Ovis aries: one gene and its partner. The protein of the gene in region 1 binds, or shares a complex with, the protein of each later gene. Links are inferred from orthologs where the notes say so. Each region holds a gene or a part of one and is shown in the gene's direction. Other genes may lie near its edges.

What was found.
Region 2: the proteins of SCTR (region 1) and SCT are in contact, whole or in part, in a cryo-EM structure (PDB 6WZG), measured with the Homo sapiens proteins. The link is inferred for Ovis aries from reciprocal best matches to the Homo sapiens genes SCTR and SCT. Residues at the interface, in NP_002971.2 of Homo sapiens: Arg30, Leu31, Cys32, Leu35, Asp71, Asn72, Pro117, Val125, Val127, Asn128, Asp129, Asn132, Arg135, His136, Leu139, Leu140, Leu142, Lys143, Tyr146, Tyr150, Arg188, Asn192, Lys195, Leu199, Phe200, Ser202, Asp203, Val205, Met219, Phe222; in NP_068739.1 of Homo sapiens: His28, Ser29, Asp30, Gly31, Thr32, Phe33, Thr34, Ser35, Glu36, Leu37, Ser38, Arg39, Leu40, Arg41, Glu42, Arg45, Leu46, Gln47, Arg48, Leu49, Leu50, Leu53, Val54.

What each region holds. Positions count from the first base shown.
Region 1 is NC_056055.1:184,858,324-184,870,988, reverse strand, and holds the start of SCTR (secretin receptor), read left to right. Parts: upstream 1-4,342; 5' UTR 4,343-4,540; coding exon 4,541-4,600; intron 4,601-12,665.
Region 2 is NC_056074.1:47,057,020-47,068,609, forward strand, and holds SCT (secretin), read left to right. Parts: upstream 1-6,532; 5' UTR 6,533-6,552; coding exon 6,553-6,629; intron 6,630-6,726; coding exon 6,727-6,828; intron 6,829-7,102; exon of another isoform or gene 7,103-7,211; coding exon 7,212-7,304; exon of another isoform or gene 7,305-7,508; coding exon 7,509-7,623; 3' UTR 7,624-7,730; downstream 7,731-11,590. Other genes in the region: CDHR5 (cadherin-related family member 5), read left to right, coding at 10,115-10,178, 10,311-10,486, 10,822-10,872. UniProt on the Homo sapiens protein: Hormone involved in different processes, such as regulation of the pH of the duodenal content, food intake and water homeostasis.

The sequences.
Region 1 (12,665 bases):
ATAACCCCGAACTCCTAATTTATCCCTCCCCCACCCCTCTTCCCTTTTAGTAATCTTAAATTCGTTCTCTGTGTCTGTCTTTGTTTCTGTTTTGTAAATAAGTTCATTTGTTTCACTTTTTTAGATTCCACATATAGTGATATCATATGATATTTGTCTTTCTCTGTTTGACTTATTTCACTTAGCATGGTAATCTCTAGGTCCATCCATGTTGCTGCAAATGGCATTATTTCATTCTTTTTATGGTTGAGTAATATTCCATTGTGTATATGTACCATATCTTCTTTATCCAATCCTTTGTGGATGGACATTTTAGGATGCTGTCAAGTCTTAGCTATTGTGAATAGTGTTGCTGTGAGCATTAGGGTGCATTATCTTTTTGAATTAAAGTTTCACGGTAACTTTTAAGTTACTGTTGTGAGAACGTGACTTGGAGTGTTTGGGGATGGTCATGACTTAGTTTCCTATGCCCCACTACACCTACCTCTCCAGTGTAATTTGGAGAAAGGAATGAGGCTCCAGACCTGGAAAAGCATCAGAATCAAAGAGACATCCCTCTCTGTTGCTCCTGGGAGTTATAATGGATTTAGAGGGTGGACATAAAGTATTTCCCCACAGCCCCACTAACAGCACTGGTATTAGTACTAGTACTACTAGTACTAGGGGTCTCACGTGCTCCTCCAGGATCTTCCTACTTTCCATCAAGAGGCAGAGTCTATGTTGCCTCTCCTAGAACCAGGACTGGCTTTTATGATTATTTGGACAACAAAACACAGTAGAAGCAGATGAGGCTGGGTCATAAATCACGGTGCACCTTCGACCTGCTCTCTCTCAGGACAAGCACCTTTGGGATCACGGTTTAAGAAGCCCAGACACCCTGAAGCTGCCTGGAGCTAGGACCACGTGGAGCAAGCCCAGCCCCAGTCATCCAAGAGAGCACGTCTCCAGGGGACTCTGACTGCCACCGCGTGAGATGTGCTAAACCAGGGAACTGCTGGCCGAGCCCAGCCAACCCCCAGGACTGTGAAGTGACGATAAATCACTGCTCTGATTTTCCAGCACTAGTTTCAGGTGTAACAGACATAAGCGTGGTGGAGAACTCAGGCTGGGAATCAAAAAACCAGAGTTTCAGAGCAAACAATCCTGTGTGATCTGCAGTTCAGGCCCCACCCATCTTCATCTGTTCAGGTTTCTTCATCTGTTAAATGGCTAGACTGATATATCCTAGTGGGGTTATTCTCCTTTTGCCTCATCCCTCTCAAATCTCTTTTCTGCCTTCTCCACCCAGGAGGGAGGTTAAACTCTATGGACATAGAGAAATGCTATGGACAGTTTCTCCCCAATCTGTCTGTCTTGTCTCTGGCTTTGGGTTGGGTTCAGCCAACGGAAGACATAGCCAGGAGATTCAGAGGGCAGAAGAGAGGTCAGGGTATTTATCTCGACACCTGACAGTTTTTCCATTTGTTTGTTTTGGTTGTACTATGAAGCATGTGGGATCTTGGTTCCTAAACCAGGGATGGAACCTGCACCCCCTGCAGCAGAAACACAGAGTCTTAACCACTGGACCACCAGGGAAGTCCCAGACTGTGGTTTTGACAGAGGCTGCATCCCCCTCTGGTTAAGATCCTATGGGTGGCTCCACTCCCAAGGATAGCTCTTGCCTGCTTGGGGAGACACTGCTTTCTCTCTTTGCTCCTTGTTAAAGGAAAATTATCCCGACATTTATTAAAATGGTAAAGAAGCCTTCATTCAAGACTGTTACAACAGGGGTGTTGCAACAGAGGAGAGAACCAGGGCTCAACTCAGAATATAACAAGAAACAAAGGGGATTTGTAGCTATGGAGCAGGGTGAGGGCAGCCATGGATGGACGATTACTAAGAGGAGACATCAAGACAGGGAGATTTCTGCTAAACTGACTTAACACCCTTCTTGCTAAAGGCAGGACAGGATTATCCATCAAAGGTGGGAGAGACAAGGAACTTGACGAGATATTAAGGGGGAAGATTCTCACTAACCCATGGCAGGAGTCTTGCTGAGGCAGGCCAAAGACAGGTGGGGCCAAGGTCAAAGCAGAAGAGGCGCAGAGGAGTCTGACCAGGCCTATCGCTGCTGACCCGGGCACCTGCATGTCCCCTGCTGGTTCCCTGAGCCTCACCCACACCTCTGCATGGCATCTTCTCATTAAACTTTCAATGATACCATGTGAGCAATGGAGTCTCCCTCTCCTGCAGCCCCTGATCGCTGGTCCTACAGACCCCACAGAGCTGTTTCAAGGATCAAATGAAATACTGCATGTAAAAGAGCTTTGGAAAGACTGAGAGTAATAAAGTCATCTTCAGGATTGAGAGAAGTTCTAGTGCCATGCAAAGGACGTGGGCCCGGGCTTCGGACTCAGTCCTGTGTTCAATCCAGGCCCTGCCCCTTGTTGGCTGCATTGTTGAGGCAAATGGTTACCTTTCCCAAGCCTCAAGTTCCCATCTGATTCATCAAGGAAAGTCAGTGTCTCTCAGACAGTCTTGGAGGATTGTCTATGATGATACACCCAATTATTAAAAAACTCCCCAGCACATGGTGGGTATTAAATACATGATTAGTTCCCCACATGCTCCCTTCCACCCTATTCTGAAACTGTGTTCTCAGGCAGGTTCTACAAAGCCACTGACGGCATCCATGGCTTCCCACAGAGCATTTCAGATCCTTTCCTCGATATTCTGAGAGACAGAGCCTCCTATTTAAGGAACAATGGCTTTCCACAGGCCAGAAATTGATTGAATTGCCCAGAACAAATGTCATTTTGCTTTTTCACTGGTGATCACGAGGCTCTGGTATAGAGCACAGATTGCATTTTGCATTATTTTCTTTTTTTGTCTTTCCATCAAAAAATCAATACATCCAGTCATTACAGAAACTATTCATCAACATGAAAGTCTATAAGTAAAAATGGCATATCCTTACCGCATGCACTTTTTCTAATGCACATTTATGATATCAGAGAAACTAGTTCATAACATTTCTCCAGCCTGAATCTTGAATCAATTGAGAAATATGAGGAAGACAATGGGACCCAATATCACTTTTGTTGGTGATAATGGTCTCAAAGAATGTGGTTTATACTTGTGGACCAGAGGGGAGAAACCACCACCTGCCACTGGCCACACTTGATCAATCAGTCAGAACCTTGACTTTCAAGAACAGCCTGGGCCAGGGCAATCCAGTTACTGGCTCTCTGCTGGTGGGGACGCTATGAAAGGAAAGGGTGTGTGTGTGTGTGTGTGTGTGTGTGTGCGCGCGCGCGCGTGTGCGAGAGTGTGTGCATGTGCATGTACACGTGCCCAGAATCTCATGCCAGTCCTTAAGCCAGGTAGAGCTCACCTCCCTTCCATGTGTGGGGAAGAGGGTGAGGGAGAGAAGTCAATGAGCTGATGGCCTTCAAGTGCCTGAGAAAAAGATCTAGATAGAAGGAGACACAAAAGGAAAGGGGATGTGCATCAGAGCAGGAAAAAAAAAAAAAAGGGTCTACAAAAACCCTCGGAAGGTGCCTTGTACTGTACTGAGAGGCCAAAGCCAACCTTCAGGAGATCCGATGAAGAAGGAAATGGCAACCCTCGCCAGTATTCTTGCCTGGAGAATCCCATGAACTGAGGAGCCTGGTGGGCTACAGTCCATGGCTTCGCAAGAAGTTGTACACGACTGAGTGACTAAACAACAAGGAGATCTAAGCCCTCAGACTCAGGATGAGCAGCTGCTGGGCACACCTGCCTAATACTGAAATAGCTCCCGGGGAAACCAGAAAGCACAAACGCTCCAGCACAGCCCCAAACGCTGGGGTGCACCGATGGTCCTCCTTGGTCTCACCTGATCATCAAAGGCTTCTCAGTGTGATGGAGCTCATATGTGTGCAACTTTCTGGAAGGAGCGTAAATATCTAATAAGAAAGAAAAAAAAGTGAAAATCGGAAATGGAGTAGCTGCCCCCGGAATAGTGCCATAGGGATTTAACGAGCACCGGCTGTGTCACAGGGCGCTAGTTCAAACTTTTCACCCAGAAGGCGGGTATTATTAGAGGTACTGTTCGGATGAGAACGCTGAGGCTCCAAAAGGTGGCCTCCTGCCCATCCTCACGCAGCGCAGCGGTGGCGGCGCTGACTCGGACCTTGGGGAGGGCTCTTTTAGTCCGTGGGGGTGTGGCAGCGGGGCCTGCCGACCACAGCCTGCGGGAGCCGCTTTAGGCCTCGCGTCCTCCCTCCACCTCCTCCGCAGCGCGCCTTCGCGCTGGCCCCCGCCAGCCGGCCAGCCAGCAGGGGTGGGTGGAGGAGCGCACGCCACGCCGCGCCGCGTCCTTATCAACCGGCAGGGCGGCGTGGTGCGGGGCCACCCGGTCAGGGGAGGCGCAGTCCCGGGCCCGCCGCGGGTGGGGCCATGGCTCCCATGGGCGCGGCGGCCAGCCGGGGTCCGAGAGGCGGCAGGGAGCGCTGAGTGCTGAGCGGCGGCGCGCGCGGGCAGGCGGCCGTCGGGGCGCCAGGGGAGCGCACGCGGCACCATGCGCCCCCGCCTGCCGCCACTGCCAGGGCTGCTGCTGCTAGCCTGCGCCGTGCGCGCGGTGAGTACGCGCCCTTCCGCGGGTCCCTCTAGGGGTGAGGGGTGGAGGGGCCCCACCAGATCTCCTGCTGGGCGGCGGGAGGCGTTTCTCCCCATCCTTTCCCCGCAACTATGATTTTTGTCTGCTCCTCTCAGGGGGGTCCTCTCCTCCGAAATAAAATCTGTATGTGCCCGGGCGCAGGCGGCGCTGAGATAACTTACCTTGCCCTTCACCCCACCCGGGCGCTCCTGGGCGGAAATTCGGAAGCCGCCCCGGCCGTGCCTTTTGTGTGCGGGCACTTTGCCTGCAGTATTTCCTTGAAACCTCATCATCGACTTTCGAAGTTGCTATTTTCACCCTCACTTTGCGGACAAGGAAAGCGAGACTTGGAAAGACCAAAAAAAAAAAAAACTTGCCCCGAGAAAAGACAGCTGGAACCCAGTCTGCCTGCCCCAGAGCCTTGCCATTTTGCACGGACAGCGGCTGCGGACGGGGAGACTTGAAAGCTTGGCCGTAACTGCCGGAGCTGTAACGCCAGCGTTTGCCGCTTCCTCCTTGGTCTTGTGGGTTTGGCTCCGCAGTGTCGATGGGTCTGGGGACTTCTGGGAGCAGCTGGTCTCCCTAAACCAGGTCCAGGGAGGAACTGGCAGAGAAAAGGGAAGGCAGCAGAGTGAGTGGCTTATGTTGCTTTCTCACAAACTCCAGGAGTCCTGGCCTCTGCCTGTGGGGTTTGTGAAAGAGGGTGGCTGCGGCCAGTGGGGAAGAAGGAGCGGTGAGGAAGGGGCGCACAGATTCCAGAACTTCCCCTTTCCACCAGCATTCCAAACAGGCCCCCCACCGCCTCAGTCCCAAGAAACTCCCCAGGGAAAGCACTTAGGAACTCAATTCCGAGCCTGAAATCTCTGTCCTGGGCAAACCCTTCCTGCAAACACATCAGTGGCCCTCCTGTGGTCCTCTCCTGGTTGGCTATAAGAAAGACCTGCTTCTGGAGCTGGTGGGAGTGTTGACACGCAGGAGGCACGGCTCCTGTGGTGTCCAGAGCGGGGTTTTCGGCTCTCCTATGCAGCTCCCTTGTGTTAATAACTTGGAGCCTCCTGTCCTCAGCGCTGCAGTTGGAAGGTGCTAGGACAACAGCACCTGCTTGCAAGTCTGAGCTCCCACTTTGGGGAAACGCCATCTGAGACATGGGGACAGTTCAAAGCCAAATTCAGCCTCTGAGTGTGTTATTTGGTGCCCAGAGCTGGGAGGCAGCCCTTTTGGTGACCTCACCCCACCTCCCGCCCACTGCCAGCCTCCTTTTTAAGTATCTGCAGTAACACTGCGGTTGTCAGAAGAAATCAACAAGTGGCTGGGTCTTCAGGACTAAGGTTCAATGTACATTTTAATCTCCAGCGTCATTTTAGGAATAAGCCCAGGGGAAAATGAGATCCCTTGGTTTAGGTCTTCCGTGTGCCTTGGAAGGATGCTTTATTATGCCTTGGTCCACTTTCCTCTTTTTACAGGGGAGCAAACTGATACCCACAGAGAGCAGGGACCTGCTCCTTATCAGTAAGTTTGTGGCAGCTCTGGGACTGGAGCCCAGATCTCGCCTTTCTCAACAGCCCAGGGCTGTGTCTGGGTTGTCGCTTGTCTTTGCTCACATCTTCCTCTACTCACGCACCACTTTATGTTCCTGCCAGGTGGTTTCCTGTGTGTAAGTCTTGGCTCTCTGGTGGCTTTATGGGCTTATCCAGATCTGAGGTTCACACTTCTTGGCAGAGAACTCTGTCAACAAATAGGGGTGGAATTGCCCGGCTTTGGTTGGAGGATTTCCCAGCCTATGGAACCCTGCTTTTTTCCTGTTTGAGTGGTCAGACATTTAATTTTGAAACTGAAGGACATTCAAACAATTCCTTATCATTTCATGCTTCGTCTTGGGGGAAATCATAGGCATCTTCCCAATTGGTGGTGGTGGGGGATCACTAAGGCCAAATTGCTTATTAGTACTCCCCCCAACTCCCCACCTTTTCACACAGAGATGTAGGGAGGGTCCCTTGCAAGTGGACTGAAAAGTGCTGGTGGCTGGTGGGGCAGTTTTTTGAGACTCCCATAAGAAACTCTGGCTTCACCTCCCCTTACTGTCCTCATCCATGTCTCTCATGAGAATTTTTACCTAGAACAGTATTGTCATTATTTACCAGCACACCTGTCCTTCCCGTCCTCCCCAATACGTTCACTTAGAGCTTGAACCTTGAGACTCAGTCGCACTCATCCTTTATCCTTAGAACCTGTCATATCAGAAGAAAGAGTCAATGACTGTGTGTGGGCTGAATGAATGAATGAAGTGATGGTGCTATCCATAGTGGCTGCCCTCATGTGGGGCACTTTCATGTAACAACAGGTAGTGAAGAATGACATCTTACAAGCAATCATTGCTTACAAAATTGCACATAAATCTGCCAGGCAAAGGTGCAGTCTCTCAGGGGAGGGCTTTTAAATCCAGGGCATCTTGCCAACTGCCCACCTGAGAACCTGAGTGTGTTAAGTGGGGTACAAGGGGCTACTTTTTCCTTCAAGCAGGGTTTCTTAACTTTGACACTGTAATTCTGGATATTAAATCTGAGCTTTCCACATGGGATGCTGGGACAAGAGCTATGCCCTCCCCTGGCATGGGAGGGAATGAGAGGGTGGAGATAGTGGTTAGAGAGAGGGGAGCAGGGGGTGCGGGTGCCCTGTACATTGTGTGCTGTCCAGCAGCGTCCCTGTACTCTGCCTACCAGAAGCTAGTATCTTCTCTCCGAGTTGTGCCAACAGAAATTGTCTCCAGACATTGCCAACTGTCCTCTGGGAGCAGGCAGGGCAAAACTGCCCTGGTTGAGAACTCCTGCCTTAAAAGTTATTATGTCTCAGGGGAAATGTGTGACCAAGATTCGCGATAGGTGTCACTGGATGTTGGGTTCAGGGTAGTGGGGTTGGTGACAGGGGATCTGAGCTGGAGACAGAAGCAGGTGTGCCAGTGAAAACCCATCTCCGGATGAGAAGACCTCTATAGGGCATGGGTTCCTTTGGCTTCTCCACCCTCCCTTCCCACTCCCCCGTGTCCCTCTTCATTTCTTCTCGGTTGATGGCTCAGAAACACAAAAACTCTAAGGTGGGGTCTGGCATGTGGTGGTCCCCACCCCTTTCTGGACTGCCTCTGGACCCAGAGGTTGACAAGCTGGGTTAGCAGAATTTTAAGAAGGCCTGCAAGGTCACCAGAGGATCTGACTACTGATGCCTCTTAGAGAAAAGTCACTGGGAGCTTTGTATCCCTGAACAATATTCCGAGGTAGTATTGTGGATTTCTTTTTGAGTTTTTGTTCTTCCTAAAAGTCATGTGACTGATGACCATGATGATGATGATGGTGAAGGCTTCCCTCAGTGCCTACTTCACACCAGATACTCTGCTAAGCTGTGCCTGGCACTACTTGACTTCTCTCACCAAGAGTCATCATCCTCACTGTGCATGTGAAGAAACTGAGATGTAGAAACAGGTGAAACCAATGGTCAAGTCACCCAGCTGACATGATGGTGTAAGGACTCAAAGCCAGCTGTGCTTAGCCAGCACGTGCATCTGCTTCCAAAGAGAGGCCGCTGGTTTTTGGCTTCCAAGGCACTGTCATGAAATCTTTCTCAAACCACAAAATGACAATAACTACAGTTTAATCTAATCACTTTATAAAAGGCAAATCAAATACAGAATTACACACAGCATTTTACTGAGGGTTGCCAGACATGAGTTTGGGGCCACAAATTCAAAAAAACAGGAGAGATGCTTCTCACACTGTTTAGGGGAGTCCTTTAGACTTTGGCACCCCCTTTACGAGTTGCTACAGAGCTCCCCTCCTGTCCCATCCCCCAAATCCCCTCCCTTGACACTGGAGGGCACAGGTCTCTTCCTGGCACCTCTTGTTGAAAGCCCAGATTCCACAACCAGGATTAGAGCTCTGCCCCCAGAGTGGCCTCTGGTTTGGCCCCTGCATCCCTGTCCTTAGCCAGCTGAGGTCACCACTGACCTTTGCTCAGGCTCTGGAAAAACCTGCAGCCCCAGATAAGACCCACAACACTCAGATTCTATCTACTTGCTTACATACAGAGTATATAAGTATTCATGAGGATATGAGAAAGCAGGAATCTCTTGGGGCCCACCCAGCTTCAATATTCCATGTCTGAAAGAGTCCAAGGAGCATCTGGGGAAGGGACCTCCCTGATGGGTCATCTGGTGGTTGTGCTGCCAGGATTCCTGAGTTTTCCAGACTTCTCCAGAATCACTGCATGCCCCACATCACTTCCCTCTCTCTCGGCTCCCCAAGGCTCCCCTTGGTGTCTTCAGAGATTTCTGACCTTACTACCTCCTTTCATTTTCAATAGATGGGTGTACCTCCCATATCCTGAGAGTCAGAGACTGAACTTCCTCTGAGCAGCATCTTGCCCTCACAGATGAATCTAAGTTGGACCCTCCTGTTCCTGTCCTCCTGCACCCAATGTCATGCCGTGCCAGAGCAGCACAGACTGAGGGGCTTGAACAGTGGAAATTTATCTTCTCGTAGGCCTGGAGGCTGGATATCCCAGATCATGGTTGGATTCTGGGAAGACCTCCCTCCCTGGCTTGTAGTTGGCTGCCTGGTCCTCATGTAACCTTTCCTCTGACTTCTGAGAGAGTGAGTTCACTGATATCTCTTGTAAGGATGTTAATCCTATCAGATTTGGGCCCCCTATGACCTTATTTGACCTTAATGAACTCCTCTGGGCCCTGTCTCCTAGCAGAGCCGCACCTGGGGTTAGGGAGTCAATACATTCTTTGAGGGACACAGACATTCAGCCTGCATCACACCTGAATGGAATAGAGGCTTTGCTCCAGCCCCATGCTCCTGACCTCTTCCCCACACCATGCTCAGTGACTTTCGTCCTGAGATGACACAGAGGTAGCCTTCATCCTGCTCCTCTTGACTGGATTTTCCATCAGCTAGTCAACCTGCCCAAGCCCATCCAGCCAAGTGGCAAAGGAACTTTACAGCTCTGGCCATGGTTCCTCCGCTACCGCTCATGGCCAGCATTTTGGAAGATGCATCTATGATCCCTGCCTCCACCTGTCCGTTCCTCAGCCTGCAGCACCCTGGCTCTCACCCGTTCCCTACTCGCATCAGTCTCACCAGGCCCTGCATTATCCCACTTTCCCTAGACAGGGCGTGGTCTGTGTCCCACCCAAGGGGAACACATGGTTGATGAGAGTTTGGACACTATGACTAATGACATCAAGGCAGCGAGCACACTCCCTGACTGTTCTGGGCAAGATGGGCAGGGCACCCATGGGACTCCAGCCTCTTAGAGACATTTGGTGCTGGGACACTCTGTCCCTCCCCCTCTTCCTCACCTTGGTGCCTGCCTTTCACAGGCTTGTGGTTCCCACTGTGCCTCAAATGAGGTTTTCCCTCTTTCGAGGTTTCCCCGTGTCACACGGTTCCTTCCTCTTGTGTGATCCCTCCTCCTGCATGGTCCCTCCTTTTGCTCATCTTCCCAGCCTGTGAGGGTCACTGTCTCAGGCACTGTCTCTGGCCCTTGCTCTCCTTATGCTTGCTGCTCTCTCTTACTATGTGTTTCCTTGCCCATCTTAAGGTGATGTAAATCCAACCTTAACCATGCTTATCTCACTTCAGCTGCTGCCGAACTCATATCTCTTGTCCTTGTTTTCCCTGTTGTTGGAGTTACTGAGGTACCCAAAGCAGACACATAGGAACGATGCTGGCCCCTGTCCTCAGCTGGCCCTCAGCCCCTGCTGGCCCCTGTCACATCTGTGCACATGCCCTCCGCTATGGGGGTGACTTCTCGCCTACGCGGTGCAGTGCCTCCCAGGGGTTTCCTGCCACTGCTTGTGGTCCATGGTTGCCTGCCCACTACCTTCCCGCATGCTCCCGCCACAGGTGCCTCTGGACCCCTTGGAGCCTGTGAGCTACGGCAATAAGATCTGTGTCTGCTCACCTTCGATTGCAGAGCATCCTAGGGACCCAGTAAGTGTTAGATGACATTTTGGGTTTGGAACTGGTTGTAGGATCGAGTTCCCTCTTTATTTGTCACTGTATAAACTAGACTAATATCTCTCTTTTTTCCCCTGTGAAACTATTCCTTTCCAGTCTCAGGTTGTCAGTTGACGAGCAAAGTGTGTTGAGTTTCTTCCCATCCTTTGGAATTCAGTAGCTTTTCATTGGAGAAGGTAATGGCAACCCACTCCAGTACTCTTGCCTGGAAAATCCTGTGGATGGAGGAGTCTGGTAGGCTGCAGTCCATGGGGTCGCTAAGAGTTGGACATGACTGAGCGACTTCACTTTCACTTTTCACTTTCATGCATTGGGGAAGGAAATGGTAACCCAGCCCAGTGTTCTTGCCTGGAGAATCCCAGGGATGGGGGAGCCTGGTGGGCTGCTGTCTACAGGGTTGCACAAAGTTGGCCACGACTGAAGCAACTTAGCAGCAGCAGCAGGTGAATAAAAGCTTTTTCACTCCTGAAAAGATTCAAAAGTTGACCTCCTTATTTGTGCTTTCTCAGGAAGTTACTGTAGAATGTGCTTCTGAAGAACAAGGAAGCAAAGCCAAGAAAAAGACAGAGAATATAGGAAATGGAACTGTGCCTGGGGGAGCCGGGGAGAGGCCCCCTAAAAGAACAGCCAGGTGCCAGGCCCCATTGGCAGAGGTCTGTGGGAGAGAGGGCTCCAGGGACTGAAAGAATAGACCTCTTGATAAATGTCTATCAAGGCTGTTGGAGCATTGGATAAATTAATCCTATCTACCTAGATAAACTAATCAAATGAAAACGCAAAGTCAATTGTTGACCACAGGAAAAACAAAATGTACAAGAAGAGACATAATCGTTTTACATGGCTAGACTCAGCAGTGAACAATATTTCATAGTCAAAGTAAGTCATTATAAATACAGACCATTCATTTAACTAACAATTAAGAGAAGGCTATCTCAATATATTATATGGGGGGAGGGAAGTATATGTAGGGAGGTTTAAAAACATCTAAATCTTTCTCTTCCATAATAGAGTTTTGGATAATGTCTCAAACTGATAAACCAAGAAATAACAATATGAGATAATTCTGAAATACAGAGATAAAATGAAAATATACATCTAAAGAAAAGTAAAGTGGTTTTCTCTGGAGAGCAGGAAAAGGTTAGGCAAGGGAACTGCTGTTTTTTGCTATAAGCACTTTAGTACTAGGACAAGTAAAAGAAAAAAAAGTGCCTATCCAAACTTGATTTTTAAAAACTATTAAAAGGGACCTTTTCAAGACTAATAGCTCTTGCTTTGAGGAGTATTTTATATAACTTTTAGCAATACTTTCACCATCACTTGTTTCTCCTGTGAATTTAGAGGAAAATTTTAAAGGGGTGCGCTATACAGCATAGTCTGTTTTTGTCTTAAAAATATTTTTTTGGCTGTGCTGTCCAGCTTGTTCAATCTCTGACTAGGGATTGAACCTGCCCATGCCCTCGGCAGTGAAAACACAGAGTCCTAAGCACTGGATTGCCAGGAAATTCCCAATATTTTGAAATTTATTGATTATATAGAAACATGCACAAGCGTACATACATTTGAGCTCTAAATATCAGCCTCTTCTTTCCTCTAGGAAAACCTAGATGATACGGGAGCTTTTTTCCCCTTCATTCTCCCTCTGAGGCATCTAACAAACTGTTGCTCCATGAACACAATCTTCCCAGCCACTCCCAGCTACGCTGATGGCCCCACTCTGTCACTGAGGCCGCTGTCTGCAGGCTGAAGACTCATCCACAGACTCAGCCCTTTCAAAAGAATACTGTTGCTGTCATACAAACAGTGGATGCACACCTTTCTGCAATTGGCATGCCACCACACAAAACAATCTTGCTTTATTCAGTTTTAATGAAAGGATTAAGGGTAAACGAACTGTGGAATGATCTACTTCACACCCACTAAGATAGATATTGGCGCTTGCCAGGTTACGCTACTGGTAAAGAACCTGCCTGCCAATGCAGGAGGCGGAGAAGACGCAGGCTTGATCCCCGGGATGGTAAGATCCCCCGGAGGAG
Region 2 (11,590 bases), on another chromosome or scaffold:
GAGTGCAGCACTTTCACAGCATCATCTTTGAGGATTTGAAACAGCTCAACTGGAATTCCATCACCTCCACTAGCTTTGTTCGTAGTGATGCTTCCTAAGGCCCACTTGACTTCACATTCCAAGATGTCTGGTTCTAGATGAGTGATCACATCCTCATGACTCTCTGGGTCGTGAAGATCTTTTTGTACAGTTCTTCCGTGTATTCTTGCCACCTCTTCTTAATATCTTCTGCTTCTGTTAGGTCCATACCATTCTGTCCTTTATCGAGCCCATCTTTCTATGAAATGTTCCCTTGGTATCTCTAATTTTCTTGAAGAGATCTCTAGTCTTTCCCAATCTGTTGTTTTCCTCTATTTCTTTGCACTGATCGCTGAAGAAGGCTTTCTTATCTCTTCTTGCTGTTCTTTGGAACTCTGCATTCAGATGCTTATATTTTTCCTTTTCTCCTTTGCTTTTTGCTTCTCTTCTCTTCACAGCTATTTGTAAGGCCTCCCCAGACAGCCATTTTGCTTTTTTGCATTTCTTTTCCATGGGGATGGTCTTCATCCCTGTCTCCTGTACAGTGTCACGAACCTCGTTCCATAGTTCATCAGGCACTCTATCTATCAGATCTAGTCCCTTAAATCTATTTCTCACTTCCACTGTATAATCATAAGGGATTTGACTGAGGTCATACCTGAATGGTCTAGCAGTTTTCCCTACTTTCTTCAATTTAAGCCTGAATTTGGTAATAAGGAGTTCATGTTCTGAGCCACAGTCAGCTCCTGGTCTTGTTTTTGCTGACTGTATAGAGCTTCTCCATCTTTGGCTGCAAAGAATATAATCAATCTGATTTCGGTGTTGACCATCTGGTGATGTCCATGTGTAGAGTCTTCTCTTGTGTTGTTGGAAGAGGGTGTTTGCTATGACCAGTGCATTTTCTTGGCAAAACTCTATTAGTCTTTGCCCTGCTTCATTCCGCATTCCAAGGCCAAATTTGCCTGTTACTCCAGGTGTTTCTTGACTTCCTACTTTTGCATTCCAGTCCCCTATAATGAAAAGGACATCTTTTTGGGGTGTTAGTTCTAAAAGGTCTTGTAGGTCTTCATAAAACTGTTCAACTTCAGCTTCTTCAGCATTACTGGTTGGGGCATAGACTTGGATAACCGTGATATTGGTTTTCCTTGGAGACGAACAGAGATCATTCTGTCATTTTTGAGATTGCATCCAGGTACTGCACTTTGGACTCTTTTGTTGACCATGATGGCTACTCCATTTCTTCTGAGGGATTCCTGCCCACAGTAGTAGATACAATGGTCATCCGAGTTAAATTCACCCATTCCAGTCCATAAATTTGCTGATTCCTGGAATGTCGACGTTCACCCTTGCCATCTCCTGTTTGACCACTTCCAATTTGCCTTGATTCATGGACCTGACATTCCAGGTTCCTATGCAATATTGCTCTTTACAGCATCCGACCTTGCTTCTATCACCAGTCACATCCACAGCTGGGTATTGTTTTTGCTTTGGCTTCATCCCTTCATTCTTTCTGGAGTTATTTCTCCTCTGATCTCCAGTAGCATGTTGGGCACCTACTGACCTGGGGAGCTCCTCTTTCAGTATCCTATCATTTTGCCTTTTCCTACTGTTCATGGGGTTCTCAAGGCAAGAATACTGAAGTGGCTTGCCATTCCTTTCTCCAGTGGACCACGCTGTGTCAGACCTCTCCACCATGACCTGCCTGTCTGGGCCTAGAGGAGCTATCCCACGTTGAAGGTCAGGAACGGTGGCGGTAAGGAGATATCCCTCATCCAAGGTAAGGAGCAGTGGCTGTGCCTTGCTGGAGCAGCCGTGAAGAGATACCCCCACGTCCAAGGTAAGAGAAATCCAAGTAAGATGGTAGGTGTTGCAAGAGGGCATCAGAGGGCAAACACACTGAAACCATACTCACAGAAAACTAGGCAATCTAATCACACTAGGACCACAGCCTTGTCTAATTCAATGACCCTGCTTAGCTTCCAAGATCAGGTGCGTTCAGGGTGGTATGGCCCTAGACAGTTGATGCAGTCTCAAAGAGTTGGACATGACTGAGTGACTGAACTGATCTCAGAAGGTCAAAAATAGCCAAGACACTCTTGAAGAAAAGCAAGGTGAATGAATTTGATCTGTCAGATATGAAGACTTATAAAAGTACTGTAATTAGGAGGGGGAATTAACGGAGGTATTGTAGCCAAAGCAGTTGGGGGGTGACAGTCGGGCAGACGGCGCGCACGGAGAGCATAGCCATGGGTCCAAGTGCATACAGACGGCTGGTCCACGGCGGCAACACCGAAAGACAGCAGAGAGCCGCGCGGAAAAAAGCAAAGCTGCGCCACCACTTAACACCACGCACCGCAGGAATCTCAGATCTGCATCCGAAATGTAAAACGATGACGCTTTGGGAGGTAATATATGGTAATATATTATGTTGTTATTTACTCAGGAGACAAGAAATAGGGAAACATTCTGAGTTTCCTCATATTAACGTGAAGAACGTTGTCCCCCTGTGCTCACCAGTCCTAAACTATTCATAACCTTTTCTCAGTACCTATCAGTTTCCTGCCTTAAAAGACCCTTCTTACAGCAACTGCACCCTGTAACAACCTCCCCCCGACACCCCTTCGACCTTTCCCAGCCCCTGCCCTTCCCGGCTCACGTTTGGTAACTCAGATAACTCAGCTTGGTTGGTCAGCCAGACTCCCTGACGATCTGTCGGGTAGCTGACAATCCACAGTCGTTACCTTTTTGAGCTACATACTGAAATCCTCACAGGTGAGCTGATACAAGCTCTGAGATCTGCTCCAAAATTAAGTTGAAAAAATAAAGAAAGTCAGTAGGGGTGGGTAAGAGTGGCTGTAAATTGTTGAAGCTGAGTAATGGTACCTGGGAGTTTGTCTACTTTTGTATGTCTTTAATTCTCTGTAAGGAGTAAAGTGATCTTTCTTTTTCTGCTCTGTAAAACGGGACGTTCGTCAAAGCCACAGAAAGGTTAGAGTCTATTACACGACTTAGCGACTGAACAAGTCTGGGCCCCAGGTTCATATCCTGAAGCACTCAGCCAAAGGTAGCCTAAGACACTGGCTTCTGCAGGTCTGTGAAAGAAGCAGTCACAGACCTGAAAGAAGAGTTCTCTCCAGTGCCCTCCCGCAACACTCCTAATGCAGAGCTAAGAGTAGGCGCCGTTAAACTTGCCATTTAAACCTTAGCAGTAGCAGTGTTAGCCGCTCAGTCGTGTCTAACTCTTCACAACCCCATGGACTGCAGCCTGCCAGGCTCCTCAGTCTATGGAATTCTCCAGGCAAGAACACTGGAGTGAGTTGCCATTTCCTCCTCCAGAGGATCTTCTTGACCCAGGGATCGAACCCAGATCTCCCACATTGGACGCAGACTCTGTACTGTTTGAGTCACCAGGCAAGCTCATTTAAATCTTAGTTAAACCCCCCAAAACAGAATATTTTTGGTGATTTAGTATTCAGAGAATAAAACTGTGTCATAGTGAGATATATTCTTAGGCCTTGACTATGTTCCCGCCTATGTTCTACTGTGAAAAAATAAAGCTGCTTTTTCTTCCTCACAATCTTCGACCCTGTGAATTCTCTGGGGGACCAGTGCAAAGGCCTCTGTGTTCTCACTGCAGAGGGCCTGGGTTTGATCCCTGGTCAGGAACTAAGATCCAAGCCTGCCAAAAAAAAAAAAAAAAAAAGGAGAATCCTGGACCCTGAAACTGGCCATTATTAGGATCCCGCACACAGAATGATGTCTGATCTGAGGCTTTGAATAGCTATTCATGTAACCTGACTGTTTTCTGTGTGCCCGTAACAAGGACCTAGCTGGGCTTGACGTCCCGGGAAACCCTGGTGCTCTCCCTGGAATCTGTGGGTCCCACGTGGTATTTGTCATGTAGCTTCTGTTGCAAAGTAGGGTCCAAACCAGGCCAGGCCTGAGCCGCGCCTTGCTTGCTTCTCCAGTTCCCATCAGAGGCCAGTCCACCTTATCTGCTGCATTTCAGCGTGAAGTGCTGAGCCGGCTACATGTGGGTGTGGAGGACACTGGCCGGGAGCCGTCTGGAGAGAGTGCCAGCAGCAGGCACAGTGGGGCACGGCTGTTCAGATGTGACGGGGGCAGCTGGTTACAAGCTCCCCCACGACTGGCCCCCGCGGGCCTGCCTGCCCCTCCTTGCCTCAGCCCCGCCCGGCTCTGCCGCTCAGGCCTCGCCTCAGCCTGCCTGCCCTTCTGCACTAGTGACCGCTTGGGACCTGGAGCTGCTGTGATCAGAGCAGCGTAGGACAGCGGGTGTGCCCTAAGCTGCTGCCCACTAAGCTGCTGTTTTTCAGCCGCTAAGTTGTATAACAGAGTGGACCCTTTCTGTGGGCAGCAGGAGGCAGTTCTTTGGGGCAATGGGCTTGTCCTGTATCCCGATTATGGTGGCACTCACTCTATCCAGACATGTCATAATTCATCTTTTACTGTATGTTAATTTTTTAGAAGTCAATATGCCTGCATGCTGATTTTTTTTTTTTTTAAGATAGGAAGATCCTTCCTATGAAGAGCTGCCTGGTCACTTAAGTGTTTGAGGTGCTAAAAAATATGAATGAGTACTACGGTTTTGAGTATTCTCATGAAAGTGATTAACTGGTCAATGCTGCTAAAGTTTAGGGGTTGTAATCTGCCAAATTTGTGCAAGAAGAGGCCACAGCAGCTGTTTAAAAATACAAACACAGAAGACAATGAGATACCACGACCCATGCTGCAGGGGGGATGAGAGACTGGTGCAGCCACTTTGGAAGACCACTTGGTGGCTTTCTGCAAAGCCAAACATACTCTTACCTTGCAATCCGGCAATCACGGCCCTTGATGTTCACCCAAAGGAGCTGAAAACTTACATCCACACGAAAACCTGTGTGTAGACGTTTACAGCAGCTTTACTCATAATTGCCAAAATCTGGAAGCAACCAAAGCAAGCCAAGATGTCCTTTAGGAGGTGAGAGTATAAATAAGCTGGTGTCTCAGACAGTGGAGTATTATTCAGCACCAAAAGGAAATGAGCTGTCAACCCATGAAAAGACATGGAGGAAACTTAGATCTGTGTAAGAGAAAGAAGCCAATGAGAAAAGGCCACACACACACTGTACAACTCCAACCACATGGCACTCCTGAAAAGGTGAGAAGACTCCTGAGAGTCCCCTGGGCTGCAAGGAGATCCAACCAGTCCATTCTGAAGGAGATCAGTCCTGGGTGTTCACTGGAAGGACTGATGCTAAAGCTGAAACTCCAGTACTTTGGCCACCTCATGCGAAGAGTTGACTCATTGGAAAAGACTCTGATGCTGGGAGGGATTGGGGGCAGGAGGAGAAGGGAACGACAGAGGATGAGATGGCTGGATGGCATCACTGACTCGATGGACGTGAGTCTGAGTGAACTCCGGGAGTTGGTGATGGACAGGGAGGCTTGGTGTGCTGCGATTCATGGGGTCGCAGAGTCGGACACGACTGAGCAACTGACCTGAACTGAACAGAAACAGTAAACAGGCGCTGGGGACAGAGGGAAGGACAGGCAGGTGGCGTTAAGGGGATCTTCAGGGCAGGAAAGCTCTGTGAGGTAGCGTCCACACTAGTGGATTCCTGTTATTATACATTTGTCAAAGCCCATAGAATATGTAACACCAAGATGACTAGTAACGGAAAACCCCGGATGTAGTTAACAATAATGTGCGATATTGGTTCATCATTTGTAACAAATGTCCTAAATGAATGCGCCCTGTTGGTGAGCCTGGGTGTGTGTGTGTGTGTGTGTGTGTGTGTGTGAATTCGTACTTTCAGCTCGATTTTTCTGTAAACCTAAAACTGTTCTAAAAAACCAAGTCTGCGGACTACTTTTAGAATGCACATGAAGTTTAACACAAGAGCTGCTGGTTTATAACTCCACTGACTTGATTCGCAGTTTCTGTGCCAGGATTTCAGAGGTGCTGGTTGTAGAAAGGCCGACCGAGGTAGGCTCAGGTAGGCTCAGATCTCCCGCCTGCAGAACCGCACACGAAGGCCCAGGCGCCCCAGGCCCTGGTTTCGCTCGGCCGCAGCCCTCCAGCCCCAAGCTGCCCGCAGCTCCCCGCGCCGTGCCGCGTCCGAAGACTGGGGAAAGGTCACTCGGTCCGCGGCTTCGGTGGCCTCGGCCTGAGTCCCCTCCAGGCCCTCTGGACCGCCTCATCGGGCCTCCGCTGGCGCCTCTAAGCTTCGCACAGGCCGTCCCCCTGCAGGTTCCGCCCGCCGCCCCCACCGGGGTCCCCTGGTCCCCGGGCGCCCGAACCCCGCCGGCCTGCCGAGGGGCGCCACCGCGGCGCTAGGGGCGGGCGGGCTGCCGGGGCGACAGCTGCGGGGGCGGCCCTGACCTTCCCGCGCGATCGATGGGGCGCGGCTCTGGCGGCGCGGAGCCGGGGCGGCGCTGACCCCCGCCCGCCCGCCCGCCCGGCTCCCTCTCCGGGCGCCGCTATAAAGGGGCCCGGGCCTCGCGGCTGCTCAGCCCGTTCCGGAGCGCACCATGGCTACGCTGGCCCTGCTGCTGCTGCTGCCGCCGCTGCTGCTCGGAAGCTGCGCCGCGCGCCCCGCGCCCCCCAGGTGAGCCTGCGGCCCGGGGCCTGCGCCCACTCCCCCAGCCCATCCTGCCCCCGCCCGGCCCTGACCACCCGCGGCCGCCCTCCCGTCCCCTCCGCAGGGCCCCGCGACACTCGGACGGGACGTTCACGAGCGAGCTCAGCCGCCTAAGGGACAGCGCGCGGCTGCAGCGGCTGCTGCAGGGCCTGGTGGGGAAACGCAGGTGAGGGGCGGGGTCTGGGGGGGTAAAAGCAGGTGAGGGGCGGGGCCTAGAGGAGAAACGTAGGTGAGGAGCGGGGGGGGCCTGAGGGAAAGGCGGGCGAGGGGCGGGGCCTGAGGGAAAGGCGGGCGAGGGGCGGGGCCTGAGGGAAAGGCGGGCGAGGGGCGGGGCCTGAGGGAAAGGCGGGCGAGGGGCGGGGCCTGGTGGGGGAAGGCGGGCGAGGGGCGGGGCCTGAGGGAAAGGCGGGCGAGGGGAGGGGCCTGAAGGGAAGGCGGACGAGGGGCGGGGCCTGGTGGAGAGGGCCGGTAAGGGGCTGGCGGGGGACAAGCGACGCGGTGGGGGAGCCCCCCGACTCCAGACTAATCCTGACTTGGGATGGGGGGCAGCGAGCAGGACACAGAGAACAGCACAGCCTGGACCAAGTCTGCGGAGGGCCCGCTATGCCTGCTGTGGTCGGACGCGCCCGCCCTGCAGGCTTGGTGAGCAGCGGCCCTTCCCCATCCCTCCTCCAGCGCCTCCCTCCCTGAGGCACCCTGGGTCTCGGGCACAGCTGGACACAAGCACGGTCCGGGAGCCTGGGAAGGGGAAACTGCCGGCGCCGGTGACCAGAGAGGCCTGCTGTCCCCAGGTGGGCGTGGTCTCCCGCACCAAGACCGCAACCCTTAACCCGGCTGTCTCTGCAGGGCGCCCCTGAGGCCCCCCGAGGGTCAAGCCTGGTCTTCCCAGCTGCCTCTTGCACTGAAGGCAGGGGTCATGATGTCCAAGCCGGCCGTCCCGACTGCTGAGGGGACCCGATGAGGCCCTGAGGAAGAAGGACCCTCCGGAGGGGGGCCTGGACAGAGGAGGGGGTGGGAGGAGGGGGAGGGGTTGCATCTGGCACCAATAAAGGAGGAATTCAGACCCTAGCCCCCTGAACTCTCTTTGTGCACTGCCGTCTGGTACTCTCAAAGCACCTGTGGTGTGCGGCTGTCCAGGGAGGGAGGGCCCTGTCCTCCAGAGTCTAAGATGGTGGCCACACCCAGCTGCCCTTTAAACCTGGGAAGCCAGTGGGGAGCTTCATCTGCCCACTTCCTTATCTGCTGCCCATCCCCTGGGCTCCCTGGGAGCTGGCTGCACCCCTGCCATCCACACAGCAAACATTCAGAGACCGTGGGGGGCTCACATGTCCCCCAGCTCCTTTCCCAGGGAGGCAGCAATGAGGGGGCAAGGCTGTTCTTCAGTCGCTCAGTCATGTCTGACTCTTTGTTATCCCATGGACTGCAGCACACCAGGCTTTCCTGTCCTTCACCATCTCCCAGAGTTTGCTCAAACTCATGTCCACTGAGACAGTGATGCCATCCAACCATCTCATCCTCTGTCATCCCCTTCTCCTCCTGTCTTCACTCTTTCCCAGCACCAGAGTCTTTTCTAGTGAGTCAGTTCTTTGCATCAGGTGGCCAAAGGATTGGAGCTTCAGCTTCAGCATCAGTCCTTCAATGAATATTCAGGGTTGATTTCCTTTAGGATTGACTGGTTTGACCTCCTTGCAGTCCAAGGGACTCTCAAGAGTCTTCAACATCACAGTTCAAAGGCATCAATTCTTTGGCACTCAGCCTTTCTTATTTTCCAGCTCTCAGATCTGTACGTGAAAAACCATAGCTTTGCCTATATGGACCTTTGTAGGTAAAGTGACACCTCTGTTTTTCAATATGCTGTCTAGGTTTGTCATAGCTTTTCTTCCAAGGAGCAAGCGTCTTTTAATTTCATGGCCACAGTCATCGTCCAGAGTGATTTTCAAGCCCAGGAAAATAAAGTCTCTCATTCTTTCCATTGTTTCCCCATCTATTTGCCATGAAGTGATGGGACCAAATAAGCAGGGCAACAATATACAAGCTTGACGTACTCCTTTCCCAATTTTGGACCAGTCCATTGTTCCATGTCTGGTTCTAACTTGCTTTTTGACCCGCATACAGGTTTGACAGGAAGCAGGTAAGGTGGTCTGGTATTCCCATCTCTTTAAGAATTTTTCCATAGTCCATTGTGATCTGCACAGTCAAAGGCTTTAGCGTAGTCAATAAAGCAGAAGTAGATGTTTTTCTGGAATTCTCTTGCTTTTTCTATGATCCAATGGATGTTGGCAATTTGATCTTTGGTTCTTCTGCCTCTTCTAAATCCAGCTTGGACATCTGGAAGTTCTCGGTTCACGTACTCTTGAAGCCTAGCAAGGGGCGAGGACAGGGCAGGGAGGCTCAGCCAAGCAGGAAGAGGTGACAGGCAGGAGACGTCGCCCAGGAGGCCACTCCCCAGTGGAAGGACCTGAGCATGACTCAGGCCCTGTGTCCCGGCCTGCCGTCTGGCAGAGTGCCTTGACTACCCGGGGCCTGTGGGGCAGGGCCGGTGACGACAGCCCAGGAAGTGCCAGGGTTGCAGGAGGGCTTGGAGGACCAGGGGTGCTGGCAGGGCTGCTCCGGGAAGGTGTTTCAGGCCAGGAGGTGGGGAAGACTCCACCCCACGCCCCATCACAGCAGGCCCTTCTCCCCTCCTGGACCCCACCCATTGCTGTCTCCCACCTACTGAACTTAGGTGGCCAAGGAAATGGAGGCAGGATGCTTGGGGGCCTGGGCTAAGGTTCCTCACCAGGATGCCCCTCTGTTGGCACCCAGGGTGCCCCCCCAGAGCTGCCAGCTGCTCCTGGAACACTCCGTCTCTGTCACGGTGGGCTCAGCCAGCCTTGCCTGGAGGAAGCCAGCTTGTTTCTGGGACAGCAGAGGAGTCCCTGAGACACAAATAACACAAATAACCTTTCCCTTCCAGACCTAGAGGGTTGAGTAAGGAGAGGAGGTGGGCCTGGACCTCACAGGGCTGACTCCTGGCACTGCGCCTGTGATCATTCTGGCAGAGGAGCCCAGCAGAGGGGCATTCTTCGTGGGGGTGGGGCGGGAATACGGCGAGCACAGAAGCCAGTCCCCCACCTCCCCAGTCCAAGCCCCGGATCCGCTGCCCCTGCCCCGCTGTGAGCTCCTCTGTCTCGGGGTCAGTGGGGTAAGCCCCGTCAGCCCCTGTACGCGGCCTGGATCTGGTCTCCCCCTCCTTGCGGTCAGAGGGGCCTGGCCGGCGGCAGACGAGGGCCCCCTTGGTGGAGGCCAGGCCTGCAGCCGGCAGTTGTCAAGGACCATAAAGTGGGGCGGCGTCTGGCGGGGCGAAGGTCACCCGGGAGGAGAATGCACCAGGCAGCACCCGGGCGGCTCAACAAGTCCTGGACACCAGACGGGCTCGGACCCTCCGCGGGCCGCCCGCCGCCACCGCCCAGATGGGGACCTGGGTCCTGCTGCTCCCGCTGCTGTTTGCTGCTGAGGCCCAGGCCCAGGGTACAGGTGTGGAGGGGACGGGGCCGGGCAGGGCAGGGGGCTGGGCAGGGCGCGGGCGGGGGCTGGGCGGGGCGAGGGCAGGGGCCTGGGCGGGGCGCGGGGGGCTGGCGGCACCGACCCTTCCTCCCCAACGTCCAGTCTGCTCCGTGGAGAAGACCTTCCTCACAGTCGAGGAGAACACGAACCCCGGGGAGCCCCTCCTGGACATCTACGTCCCCGAGGGCCAGCAGGTGACCCTTGGACCCTCGTCCACCCCTTTTGCGTTTCGGATCCAGGGGAATCAGCTGTTTCTCAACGTGACCCCGGACTATGAGGTGAGGACAGCAGACCCAGGCTGGCTGTGCCCGTGGGGGCAGCAGGGACTCCCGTGGGACCCCCCTGGGCACTGACACTCCTCCCCAGCTCTCTGGGGATCTCTGGGTCTCAGTTTGCCCATGGGGCCTCTTGGGCCCCCTGGCTTGGCTGAGGGCCTGGTCTCGGGGGTGGGCCCCTCAGGGAGTCAAGCTGCCGGGCCCTGACGCCCGCTGGACGCAGGGCGGGGGACACAGACCCCGAGCCAGCACCTGCCGCGCTCGTCTCCTCAGCTGGGCGATGGGGACGGTCAGCGGGGCCAGCCGGTCAGGTGAGTCCCACGCCCACCCCCTCACAGGCGAACACCATGCTGGAGGCTCTCCTGGAGTGCAGGAGCGGTGTCTCCGCGGTGAGTGCGCCCCCAGACCCCTCCCACTCCCCGCCCCCAGCCCACCCCTCCTGGCCTGGACCTCTGTGCTCCGCCCTGCCCGGCCGCGGTCACTCCCTGCTGACCCCGCCCGGTGGCGTGTTCAGGCGTCACCTCTGCCAGCAAGGCCGCACTGCCTCCAGCAGACTGTGCCTGACGCTCCCAACCCCAGCCCAGTGGGTCCCCCAAGCCGACCCGAGAGGCACCCCGCGCGCCAGCTCCGTGCCCCCCTCCCCCGTCCCTCCCCAGCGAATCTGCTGCCTCTGCCCCAGGCCAGGTCCTGCCCGCCCCGGGCGTCCCCCCGGGGCCCGGTCAGCAGCATCTTCCAGCCGGTCCTTGGCTCCCCCCGAGGTCCCGCCCAGCCCAGGGCGCGGCAGGAGAAAGTCTCCAGTAGCGGGAGGCTCTCTCCAGCCGGGTCCCCGCCTCCCGAATGGAGTGAATCCAGGAGAGCGGTGCCCCGCCCCCAGCCCGCTCCCTGCGTAGACGCGGCCTCGCGGAGGCGCCCACCCTCGCGCCCCCTGCCGCGCCAGCTGGCTCTTCGGTTTTCCCTAGTCCCGTAGGTGCCCCCAGCCGACATCACAGGGCACCACAGAGATTTCAGGATGAGCCTCTAAAAGATAAGGCTGCTTCGTAACGGCTCGCTCCCATGGTGATGCCGTCACACCAGGGAAGGCAGGGACCCCTCAGCAGTGCGACACCC